Caenorhabditis elegans: one gene and its partner. The protein of the gene in region 1 purifies or fractionates together with the protein of each later gene. This does not show direct contact. Each region holds a gene or a part of one and is shown on either strand. Other genes may lie near its edges.

Region 1 (5,848 bases):
CCAAAGTGTCCAGGGGGCCAGTAAGCAGTGGGTCGATCAATCGCCAAATCGTATAAGGGTTTTCATATCCATAAAAAAGTTCCATGTCCGGAACTGTCAATCTAATATCTGAGGGGATTCTTAGTATTCCAACGGCTCCAATGGATAGCTTCCGTACCACAATGGGGGTTTTCCTACCGCTTAGAAATGTTTCAAGTAGATATTTCAAAGCTTCGTGAAGCTTCTTCGCATATGTCACTTGCTCAACATTTTTTCCTGTCACCAGTTGAATAAAATTGTCACTGCGAAGCCCGTCCCTCAGAACTCGGCGCCTCAGCTCCTGATAAAGCCGACGTTCATCAAGGATTCTTCCAACATCACGCAGCAATTCGTTCAGACTTTTGTTGCTTCCACCAGGCATCCTATTATCTATCAAAATCTCATTGGGATCTTCATGAACATTTAAGGCATAATCCTGATATCCATACTCATCTACATCATACGGGCGGCCACCATCTCCATTGCTTCTGATAACGCTTAGTCGATACAAGATATGGTTGATTTGAATAGAGTTTTGGTCGATTTGCAGGTAGGTGAGGTATAGGCCGGTGGACTGCTCCGCGAGCTTGAGTGATGGACATCGGCGGGAAAGGGATAGTCTGCAAATTTTGAGAGTTCTTGAATTGGGTGGAGCATGGTGCATCAACATGGCAAAACAACATCCGTACAAGGATTGTGCGGCAAATTTCGAAATTTGCCGAGCTCGGCAAAATCGGCAAACCAACTTCTTTAATACTTGCCGAGCTCGGCAATTTTGGCAAATTTGCCGAGCTCAGCAAATTCGGCCAATTCGGCAAATTTGCCGTAACTCCGAAAAATTTGGTGTTTTTATTGTGTTTTGGAGCACCAAAACTACTGAATTGTTAACACACATATGGTTTCTGAATAAGTTCGGTGTAGTGTGTCTGCTTAAACATAAAAATAATTAAATTTTGTGTCCTTTTACCAAATTTTTGGAGTCAAAATCACTAGTTTTGGTAAAAATTGTTATGTCAAATTTTTGATGTGTGCGGCAAATTTTGAAATTTGCCGAGATCGGCGAAATTGGCAAATTTGCCGTGGTCGTCATACTCGGTAAATTGCAATATTTTTCATTTTTTGGAGCTCAAAAAATGCCAAAATCAATGAAAAAAAAATTTTCAAAATTAGCCGAGCTCGGCAAAATCGATAAGTCCACATTTTTTACGTGCTCGGCAAACGGCAAATTTGGCAAATTTACCGAGCTCAGCAATTTCGGCAAATTTGCATATTGGAAAAAAAACGACCTACCTCAAATTTGGCTCAAGGTGATGAATTACAGATATCTGGCATTGGTAGGAAAGTTGTTTCGTCGTCATTTTTTGCAATTCTTCCAAGGTTGCTAACTTACCACACACTATTGACTCATCTATCGGAAAACGTTTTTTTTCGGTAAATATTTGTCAACTGTTGACATTGTTTCAATCGCGGTCAGCTCCTGGTTCTCATGTTATGTAGTGAGCAAGAAATACAGAAATACATATGATTTCATAATTTATTAACTTTGAATACACAGGTGGAGCGGGAGCGGACAGCTGAAAAGGCGGCACTTGTTTTTGAGGCCCCACAAACAATGATCTACGAAAAGGAAGAAGTGGCATTGTGCCAAATACACAAAACGCATCATTTCTCGAAGAAAACGTTACAACGATGCTCTGAAATTACGCATCGCGCGTTGTTTGGCGTGTTTTCCAGCACAAAAATTAAAAAAAAAACCCTGGCACAGTGCCAAATCCGTTTTTCGTACAGCTTCCCTTTTTGTGAGGCCTCTTTTTTTTAAGCCGGGGTCGGTCGAGAGCCGCACCCCTGTCGGATCCTTCAACCCAGGATGGACCTCCGTGTCCTAGCCACACAACGGTCTATACAATTTTGAGCCAATTTTCAGCATTCCCGCTTTACCAGAAAAACACTATAACTTGATCAAAATCGGATTTCGAGATGCTTCACTCAGCATTCCCACTGCCGCAGGACCAACTAACTTGGGCTTTAATAGTTTCATGAAGTACCCAGATACATGATCTCGGTATGGCGGAGTAGTGGTGATGAGCACTATTACATTGACTATCGAGTGTTGAGCACCAATTAATAGGGCAAGCTCCGCGATTGCTGAAATTAGCAAGATTTAGAGATCATGTATAAGTGATACAAACCTTGATTAGCGCTAAAATTTGTCAGTACGGTGGCTAGTAAGCAGACGAAGGCAACCAATAGCAATAATGAAGCTGCCATCTGGGATACAAGACTGATAATTGCAGATTTGTAACGCTGGAGCTGTATTTTAGAGACTCTTAGCTGTAGGGCTTTTAACATCTTGAACATATCCCATGTTGTAATGACAGCTACAGTAACGCAGAATAGTGCTTCCATGCAAGCCAAAACTGCGAGAAAATAGCACCATTCGTTGAACGTGTAGATTGCGAAGTCACTAAGATTTTTAAATCTAGCAAGGTACTCTGGGTAGCAGGTTTCAATATGCTGATACTCCTGGTAAACATTAGCTTGGCTGATAGCGATAACAACTATTATTGGGACACATGTAAAACCAGCTGCTCCAAAGTAGTAACTGATTCTTGATACTATGTGCCGATTGAGTAATTTTGCGAAGATTTGATGTTTAGCTACAAAGCAAATAGTCAGACATTCTATTTGAACAAATGAAGAAGCTATAATCATTGTCTGCAATTTCGACAGTTCAGTGCAAAGTGATTTATTATACATACAACCAGCCGCTGACCGCGCCTCCGGCGCGGCCGCGACTGGTCGTTTGAAATTTTATTTTAAAAATAAGGAAGTGAAAAATTTTGAAAAAAATTTTTTTTAAATAATTTTTATTAAATCAAATCAAGGTTTCTAAAACATTCGTTTAAAGAATTTCGGTAAAAACAATATTTGTGATTCGGCCGTCAGGGGCTCGAACAGGGAATTGAGTTCGTTTCAGTTTGAAAGACAAATTCTTATCATGATAACATTCGATTCGAGGGATGATTACAAATTTTCCTTTTCTTTCGCCACATGCAAATCGGCATCCAATTGTTCGTCGTCCTAAGGATTCCACCACAAAGCGAGATCCATTGCAGAGACCTCCCGATACATCAAGGTTTCTGAGCAGCATAACCACCGATCCCTTTTTCAGTTTCAGCACATGTGGGGGGAGAGTCGAAGGGGTCATCTTGTTCAGAAATTCTGTTGGGTAGTGCATGTGATCTGCTGGATCATCTGTTACAATTTCATCTCTTGATAAATAGATTCTTTCTTCTCCTATCCCTCTGGAATGAACATCTTCGTTGAGAAGGGTGACATCAACGTTTTTTGGAGTAAGAATCACATTTTCGCAGGGATCAGAAGTTGATGGGTCGATTACATCTCCAAAAACTTTCTCGACAATATTTCCATCACATAAAGAAAAAGGGATTTGAACTTTCGATTCAGAATCATTTAGGGAACCATCGCCAACACCGAGAAGAAAGTTCATCCATTCCGTGTCGTTTGTGGTAACTCTCATGTTTGAGTGGAGGCGTAGAGTCTCAAACTGATTCCACAGAGGCGAACTCTTGATACAGGCATCGACTTGATCAGCTCTCGACCCTTTTTCGACAATGGGAAGGATTTGTCGGAAATCTCCGCCCAAAATGACTATTTTTCCTCCAAATGGTTGATCGACTTGAGTGATATCCCGAAGAAGAGAATCAAACGTGTTGAGAGCTGTTTTTGGAATCATCGAAGCCTCGTCACAAATGAACACATCGGTATTAGCAAGTTCTCTGGCATCTTTCAATTGCCTTCGGTGAAGCGACGACTCACATCGATCATGAATGTTCAATTTGAGAAGAGACACCATAGTTCGACCTCCTGGAAGTAAATGTGCCGCGATTCCAGTCCATGCTGTGCAAGCCGCCTGGAATAAAAACATGTTAGGAATAAAAATGAATTAGTTGATAGTTACCATTTTATTTTCTCCAATTATCATATTGTACAATGCAATGTACAGATATGTTTTACCACTTCCTCCGGGACCATCCAAAAAGAAGAGACGGGGTAAAGTAGGGTCGTGTAGCGCTCCCACGATACGCTCGAAGACGTATTTCTGGTCCGAGTTGAGGGTTTGAAATAGTCGAACGCCCTCTGCTGCACATTGGGATGGATCGCTTGTATTTAGATAGATGTCAGTCGGATGCATTGAAGGCTCAGGAACGTAATCATTGAAAGCTTTGCCTCCTCTGAAAACATATATTTCCACTATAAATATAAGTTTAGAGATGATAGCTACCTGTGAAGTCGACTGGAAATATCAAAATAGGCCAAAGCTTCAGCTTCATCATCTCTGGCTCCTGCGTGACGATAATCCTCACTGAGATCGCGTTTTACGGTATCCCACAATACCTGAGGCTCGTGAACCTCATTGAAGAGTAGAATAGAACTGAACAAAGATCGTAGGGCAGCAGGAACCGAGCATCCAATCCACTCTTTCAGCGATTTTAAATATTCACTATCATCCTTCAGCAGTCCACGTGCCTTAGCTGCTTCAACGAAAGTGGGGTAAACTACAGGCACTCCATCATCATCTATGACAGTTCGAATATCCTCAAAAGAAGTAGCTCCTTTTGTGTTTAGTAGAAGAATGCGAAGAACATAACGTTCAGTTTCACTGGGAGCAACTGTGTACATTCTGCCAATTTGTCGGATTCCACGCTTTCGGGTTTTCCAGCAGCGCTCTTTTTGATCGAATGTGAATTAAGATGGCATGTCAATGTAATGCAATTCGTCGACAAATGAATCGGACATGGAACCACTCTGCACTGTTTCTTCGCTAATTTTGTTAATTTTGAACCAAGCTGTCAGAGTTGTATCTTTTTCAGGCGTAGACTGCAACTGATCCTTTGTTACATTTGAAGGAAATACCACAACTTGAAAACCCGGAAGATGGACAGCTAGTCGATATACCGTGTCAGACTTTCTCTCAATCTTAAATCCGAAGAGATGGTGGATGGCCTCCGGAGCACACACGTATCGAGCATCAAGGTGGGCTTTAATCTCATCAACGATTCCTTCTTTCAGTCTACTCCGAATGATGTTTAGAGCAGCACGATCATGTCCCTTGTACACGTACTTAAATAAGTACTTCACAGCTTCAATGAAAGCACAAATTTCGACGTTGATGTGAGCATTGTACCGAAGCAGAAAGTAAGAGTTATACGGAACGATGAATCTGTTATCCATCTTATGACCTTATGGATATGTCAATGGATCACATATCTTATCAATATCACGAATTGCAGTGAGACCTCCTCCTCTTGGATGAATAGCTAGAGATCTTGAAGCTGGAATATCCTGATCTTCTCCGACAAATACAACTGCCACTTCATTTGATACGGGGACATTGTAACAACGACGATCTTTAGTAGTTGAAATGTCGAAGATTAGTCGAACCTCCTCGGCAACTCTTCCTTCTTTCAGAGCATCGGTGTTTTCTTTCTCTTCCACCTCTGCCATCATTTTATAAGCTTTAGCGTATGGGTTCCTAGTCGAAATGAGTTTCGTGAGCTCTGCCATCAACTGCGGATCACATTTTGAATTTGCAGGATTTCCTAATCTTTCTTCGATAGCTTGAGCTGTGTCCAGAATATAAATTTGGCCGTATGATGGTCTTCCTCCAGGTTCTGGATGAAGAGGCCCTGCTAAGTGATACACTTGGCCGTGGATGCGGTAGCAATATGGACCATGTCCTTTTGGAATATCGAGATGGGCACCCATTGAAGCCATGGAAAAAGCAGAGTTGAATTGCCGAATATTT
Region 2 (7,387 bases), on another chromosome or scaffold:
GATATATGGAGATTAAGAAAAAGTAAAATTTAAAACAAAATTAATTGAAATCCATATTTTGAACAGACTTCGGTAGACTTCGACTTAGACTTAGACATAGGCGTATGCTAAGGCTTGTGCTTAGACTCAGATCTATGCTTATGCTCAGACTTAGGCCTAGGCTTAGGCTTAGGCTTATGCCTAGGCTCAGGCATGACCTCAGGAATAGAGGAAAATGTAAAATGCAAGCTTAAACACTGCGAAAACATATTGATTGTCAACAGCGTCTATTTACTTTAACAGATAACAATTAAATTAACTCATTCCATTGTTGGTGTGAAAAACTCATGAAAGACCATATTACGTTGAATGTGTTGAGTTATTAACATTAACATGCTTTTTGGTAGCACTGGCTCAAAATTAAAATTTATATGCACCGAACAAATTTAAGAGAAAACTATTGCGTGCCAAAAAAAACTTCTGTTTCGAGTTCTCTACTTATGATGTTTGAATTAGAGATGGTCGATAAAACAGAGTTTTCAATGTTTTTAAATTCCTGGGTATTTTTAACGTATAGATCCAAAATAAAACTCCGAATAGTTACAATAATTTCACCTGAATTCTCGAATTTCGCCCACTTTTCCGTGTTGCAAATTGTTGAAATTGACTTTTCTGAGTTTATCGAGTTATATTTTATTGCATATTTTGGTAATTTATCTCATATTATTTCATTAATTGAGATACATTGTAAAGCTTATAGGTAAAAAATTTCCATGATTTTTGGTTACCTATCGGCCGAAACATTATTTTAATCTACGTAATAATATTAGATAAACAGTCAAAATATAAAATATAGGATGTTATGTGATTCAATTAAAAGTCGCGTTCAACCAGCTGTGACAAGGAAAATTTAGCGAAATTCGAGATTTTAGCGAAAATTAGCGCAGTTTCTTCAAAAATTTTGAACCGCCATAAAAAATTTTGCTGAACAAATGTTTATCAACATCTACAAATTTAATTCAGTCTCTGCGTTTTCTTTTTTTTACTGTTTCAGTCGTGTAATAACAACTGAGAAGTCTCTTCAATATTCTTTGATTGCATTCCAAAATTATTTTAAAGATTTTAAAAACCTACCATTTCAACTAATGCTTAACCAACTTTACAGAGAACAAGAGTAATTTTGATTTTGGGCTGATAACACATGCAGTTTTATTTTCCGTGCTAAATGTACATTGATTGGCTTTACAAGATCAACAGTATTACTGTGCCGCATTGAAAAAAAAACAACTTAATTCAACCATTACCTGTGAAAACTCTCAAGTTGAGCAATTTTTATTAGTACCAACAAATTCCCACTTTCCGTTTTTTTGCTGTTTCAGCCTAGTAATAACAGTTCGATGTGCTAATTTCGTCGATGCAGCAGTCCAAATAGGTTTATTTCTTTATCCCCTATGATTAGTGACGATATTTTTTTCCTGGTTTTTGTTTATTATACTCTTATTTGTTGGTAAAATACAAAAAGGTCTTCAAGTTTTTTCTTCGCTTAACCCGTTTCAGATTCCTTATTTACCAAGTGACTTCACTACTTATTAATTGAGCACGTTCTTGGTAATATTTATTTCGAAAAAAACACTGACGTTTTCTAATGTCAATATTACAATTTAAAGTTTATTTAGTCTGAATCTGAAACGTTTCAATTGCATTTTTAAGTTCATTCTGAACAATACCTAAAGGATCCGCCAAGATAGCCGGTCTTCAACATCCAGTCATAAAAGAGAAATTAAGCTTAATTTATGTCCAAATAACATGATCTCGAACATAATTTTCAGTTTGAACAGTTGCGATGTCAAAGAAATAAATTAATAATTTAGACAATTGTGTCTGGGAATAATGATATACATATATCTAATTTAGATCTTATATTATACACATTAAACTAACCATATTTGAAAATAAACTCAATTTCGTGTCGACAGTACTGTTAATTAGAGTATGTGGTAATTAATTTTATCAATGAAAAAACTCCGACCTGGCCATTAAACAAAAACTAAACCGACTAAACCAGTAACTCTAAAAATTATTTCCGGGTTTATGGTAATACTGTAAAAGTATTGTATAATTTCATGTCGGTAGTTGTAGTTATGTATAGGATGTTTGGGGTCATGGAGAAACCGAAAAAATTAATTAAAGGCGGAAAGGGAAATTTTACGGATCTCTAAAGGAGAAAGTTAAACGATTTTTCTGAAGGTTGATCATTGTCTTCAGTTTTCTTACTCCGATTTTATTTAATTTTTGAAGTGGTTAGCTGTAGAAACCATTTATTAAATTCCTTGTTTTGTACAATATTTTTGGAAAAAAGATTTATAAAAAATTAATAAAAAGTTCGGGAAAGTGTGACGATACCATCAAAGTATGAAGAACGGGTTAGCCAGATACATATCTTCAAGTCAATCAAGCATTCCCTCAGATGAAGATAAAAGTGAGGGTGAACCGATGCGGCTTTTCATTTTAGTTTTTAACCTGAAATGGGTAAGCGGCTTATTTTTATTTTTGCTTTTCTTGTGGTATTAGCGTTCCTTGGATGTTTCATTTTACATGGTGGCCTTGGTAAATTAAAAATTACTACTCCAAAATATTTTATTAAATTTCAGATTTTTCAAAATCTAGTAGTTATTCTTCAAATCAACAATGTACAATTGAAACTTGGAATTGGGTTCATACAGAATCCATATCATCTTCCTACGTGAAAACCTTCTCTAAATGGCTGTGGAAGAAGCTTGAATTGACAGCTGAGGTAGGTCTTTTAGCTTTTCCTCTAGAAAACAAAAACTGTTTCAAAATTTCAAGAATATCCACAACAACACTGAAGTCTCAATTCTGGCCGCATACGTCTACCCTGAAACCATTGCAATATCTCTTATCACTCAACACATGTTGAATCAGAAGATGTATTGTAGATACTACGATTGTGAACGGAATGAGATTCCAGGAAGTGCTTGGCGGGGTGTAGTATTTCCAGAATCTGTTATAGAGTGTCCCAGAAGAATTGGAGCAGTTTATGTGTCTGTTTCAAGAGAGATGGAAGAAGTAGCTCCAACTCCAGTTAGACTCAAATTTAGAGCATATAAAGGTAAGAGTATAAGACGGAGAAAAGTTAGAAAACAGTTTGAATAGAACCCGGACCCCAAATTTTGAATATAATTTTGCATTTTTTTTGAATTTCCACTAGCGCATTTCCTGCAATTGAGCGGCTTTAAAATGTTTTTTTTTGTGGTTTAAATTTGAGGGTTTGTGAGATTTTCAGCCGGAAAGTCTTTGTACGAAAAAGTTGCAAAAGGAACTTCCCAATTAATCAAACATATTGTGAACCGTTTTAAAATAACATCATGAAACAGTAAAATTTTTCTCCAGAGCCAGTTCATCAACTATCAGTATGCATGGCCCCCACTTACGGAAATGGATCTCATTGGCTTCCAATTGTTGATTTTGTAGAACATAACAAGCTAGAGGCATTGCTGAAATTTTACAATTTCCCAAATTTTTTTTTTATCAGGGTGCCACGTTCTTTTTCTTTTATGCCGGTCAAATTCGAAAGTATGACGAGAAAATTTTGAATGAATATGTTAGGTATGTGGAGATAACTCAGAGAACAGCAAATTGTAGTGTTGTTTTCAGAACTGGTGATATGGAATTAGTGAAACTGCAGGATAAATATCAACGTGTGTTCATTTCATGGCAGTTTTTGGAGGTTCAGGTAGGGAGACTTCACAAGATAAAATAATAGATTTTAATAACAGGACTGTCACCTTCGAAGCAAATATTTTTCAAAATGGACAGCCGTAATAGATTTGGATGAGAGAATGACAACATTTGGACAGAGAATGATTGATCTTCTACGATCAATTCAAGATCCTTCTATCGGAGTTCTTGATGTACCACATGTGCATGTGATTCAAAATGATGATTTTCCCGCGAAGTTTGAAAATCGAACACAACTGGAGAAAGAACTGATATTCAAAAAATACAATAAAACAACGAGCAATCAGATTACAGGTTCTAAGTTCATCATAAGACCAGATAAGGTATATTTTCAAGGGTCAAACTTTTTTGTTCACGAAGGAAAAAAATATATTCAAACCAGTGGTTGGCAAGACCATTTCGCATGTATGCGTCTCCTCCCTTTAAAGTCATAGAAGTAAAAAAATATAGTTGTGGTGAAAAACTGTGGTGAAGTTTTTATTTTGGTATTTACTACATGCGTGAAACAGTTGAATTTTTTAACAAAAAAAAACTAATTTCTGTAAGTGAAATAGCCAAAAAGACATTGGTTGTCTAGTAACAAGATAAATATTAGCAAATCACTGTTTGTTATTGTAAAAATATTTTATTTTCTGAAAATTGTGTCTTATGCGAACAAAAAATATAAAAGTAGGTTCTTAGAATTAAAATTATTGAAACATGATATTAACACTCAAGAAACATCATTTTCAAAAACGGCCTATATTTCTAAAGTATGTCAAACAGTGGAAATTATTTAAGTTAAATTTTAACAAAGTTAAATGAACGAAATATGAAAAGTAGTCAGTTTAAATTTGAATATTCGAATTTTCACCCAGTTTTTCTGGAAAAAATTGTGCTAAAACAACTTTTTTCAAAACAAAAATTTTGCTAACAGTTTATACGTGTCATCTTCAATGTATAACATTTGCTTCGGAATTCATGTGGATCTTTAACTTGTTTTCAGATTGGTGTAATGTTAATCCACGAGATAGTTGGTATGTGGCCAGGAATCAAATTGCAAAAGTTGGATAAAGCTCAAGCAGTTCTCAGGTTAGTTTCCTATTCAGAATACTGGTTTTAACCAAGTTGAAATTATTCAGACACTACCGCAGCACCAAAAACCGGATGTATCAACCGAATTGGAACGAAATTCCAGATAAATTTGGCGTAATGCCAATTTTCAAAAGCGTGCCACTTCCAGAACAATTTTCCAAAGATTTGGAAGAAGCAGTTGTCCAAAGAGTTCTGCGAGTGTATGATTCAGTTCCCGTGAATTGTTCCAGCATACCAAAACAATTAGCTAATTCTCTAAAATATCCAGATCCGTGTAAAGAACCATGGGTTGCGTTTTGACAATATTGATCTCATTTACTAAAAAAGCTTTAATGAAAATTTGAAATAATGAAGAAATTAAATAAAAGTGTTGAAACAGAAACAGATTTTTTTGATAAAATTGAAACTCGGTTGAGGAAAAAATATATCATCCTCGTTGACCAGAATTGTCAGAAAAATAAGCAAAACGGCTAAATTATGAATTTTGAATAAATGTTGTGGGTTCCGGAAAAGGATGAAACCTAAAACTACTGAAAGTTTTAAAATTATGCGCTTCAAAAAGTACTTCGAAGTCGTTCTCTTTTTTCCTCTTTTACACTACACTTTTTGTAAAAAATGCTATCAAATGCTTTGATATTATTTCCTTTTTTTACATCTTTAACATTTCAATGAAACATGAATTTTTTTTTTGAAAACTTGATCTTCAAACTCAATTTCCATAACAATAATCATGTTTTGTTGCTATTTTTTCTTTATACAAAACGCTCAAAAACTGCCAAATTCAGAAAACAACTAGAGCCTAATGTTCATTTTATCTTTTCTTATTTTCTGCCGTTTCAACATTGTGATAACTGTTCCACCGGTAAGTATCATTGATGGCTTGTATGATACACAATTTTCTATTAGGCTTGTTCTGCTGGAGTCAGATGTCCACCGGGAGGGCTGTGGGGTGAATGGGTGACAACTGGAAGTGACAAGTGTAGTATGGATTGTGGTGGATGTGGAAAGCTGTTTCAAATACGGACATGTTTGAGCTCGGAGCTGGGGAATTGTGCATGCTCGTGAGTTACAATCAAGGCTGGATACTTTTTTTTCTAAAAAAAATATATAAATTGCTTATAATGTTTCTATAAACTATTAAACATTGTATTAACTGATATACTGGTTGTATGATCGATTTTTCCTTTTTTCCCAAATTCAAAATTTCCAGAGGCGCTCCGTCCCGTTACATCCCATGTAACCTATCGGCTTGCAAGTACCCCGCTCAAAAAACCTGCTGTCCACCGTATGTTCCAATGGTTTTGAATAGCACTTTTATGTGTGGACCATTACCAAAATCTATGAGAGAAGAAACGACAAATTGTTGTCCTGCTGGAGGACTTTGGTCGGATTATACAGGATATCAGAGGATCAATGGACAATGGACTAGGACTAGAAAATGTTTGTCTGATAAGGCGGGATGTCCGTGTAGCGGCGATGTTACTGATGCTTCAGCTCGTTAGATTTTAAATTATTTATGCTCGATGAGTTTTCGAGATTGATCGTTTCAATATGAAAACCCATTTGAAAATATCTTGAAACAGTCAATTTTTCAAAAATGTTCTGATGGAATTAATATGAGTACAATATGAGAATATGAATATGAGTACGCATAGTTATCAACTTTTAAAATTTTATAGTTTGATGGTATAATTTTGAAAAATAGTGATATCGAGTTTGGATTGAACATTATCATTAAAGTTGATTATATAGACGAAATAAAAAAAGGATTTGTAATGCTTGGTATACGAGATTGATCGAGATTGATCGGTTCAACATGAAATTACATTTGAAAAAATTTTGAAGCAGTGAATTTTTAAATAATAGGTTGACAACTTCTAACATTACAAAGTTTAATGATTTTAGATCTTTAATTCCGAAAAAGAAACAAATTGAACATTATTATTAAATTGAGATGATATAAACAAAATGAAAATGTATCAAGTTGGAATTATTTTAGTTCACGGTTATTTTTTTTCTGTTTCAATTGGAAGTTATATTCATGCACTGCTATTTTTCTGTAGTAATATTTCAGCTCACCCAGTTTGCTAACAACTTTTGAAACTCCCAACTTAAAATTCCAGAATGCCCATGCTCTCAGCCATCAGACGCTACAAGTATCTGTACATCAGTTCCAAGTGCTCAACCATCCCGATTCCAAGCGTTAACTATTGATCATGCTACATGTACGGCAAAGTTTGATATGGTTGGAATTAATTCGGGCGGTATTCGGTACTGTCAGAGACTTGGTGAGTAGAAAGTGTATCTGGAAGGAGTTTTGTGAAACATTTTTAATAGCAACGAGGAACTAAACATAACTGTGTTGAAGTTATAAAAAACAAACATTGAAACAGTGATCATTTTATTATTAAAGGTTAAGTTTTTTTAAAATTTTGTTAAAAAATTTAAAAACTTCAAAAAATGCTAGTTTAGAAAAAAGAAGGCAATTTGCCAACCACAAAAATTAATTTTTCAGACACCTACTATCGTCCTTATGTATTCGTAGCACTTCTTCTCATGAAAGAAGTTTCTGGTG

Evidence for each region. Proteins that work in one complex are often made in the same cells at the same time.
Region 2: the proteins of Y27F2A.10 (region 1) and gtnt-37 fractionate together in Caenorhabditis elegans (co-fractionation; one large-scale study listed by BioGRID). This does not show direct contact.

The regions. Positions count from the first base shown.
Region 1 is NC_003280.10:3,169,502-3,175,349, forward strand, and holds Y27F2A.10 (G_PROTEIN_RECEP_F1_2 domain-containing protein), read right to left. Parts: upstream 2,776-5,848; coding exon 2,208-2,775; intron 2,164-2,207; coding exon 1,967-2,163; downstream 1-1,966. Other genes in the region: fbxc-55 (F-box C protein), read right to left, coding at 1-638, 1,309-1,376.
Region 2 is NC_003282.8:14,163,292-14,170,678, forward strand, and holds gtnt-37 (Glycosyltransferase family 92 protein), read left to right. Parts: upstream 1-2,484; 5' UTR 2,485-2,504; coding exon 2,505-2,586; intron 2,587-2,630; coding exon 2,631-2,773; intron 2,774-2,826; coding exon 2,827-3,109; intron 3,110-3,306; exon of another isoform or gene 3,307-3,327; intron 3,328-3,390; coding exon 3,391-3,488; intron 3,489-3,532; coding exon 3,533-3,606; intron 3,607-3,615; exon of another isoform or gene 3,616-3,636; intron 3,637-3,654; coding exon 3,655-3,733; intron 3,734-3,776; coding exon 3,777-4,061; intron 4,062-4,180; exon of another isoform or gene 4,181-4,201; intron 4,202-4,371; exon of another isoform or gene 4,372-4,392; intron 4,393-4,436; exon of another isoform or gene 4,437-4,458; intron 4,459-4,723; coding exon 4,724-4,809; intron 4,810-4,859; coding exon 4,860-5,112; 3' UTR 5,113-5,178; downstream 5,179-7,387.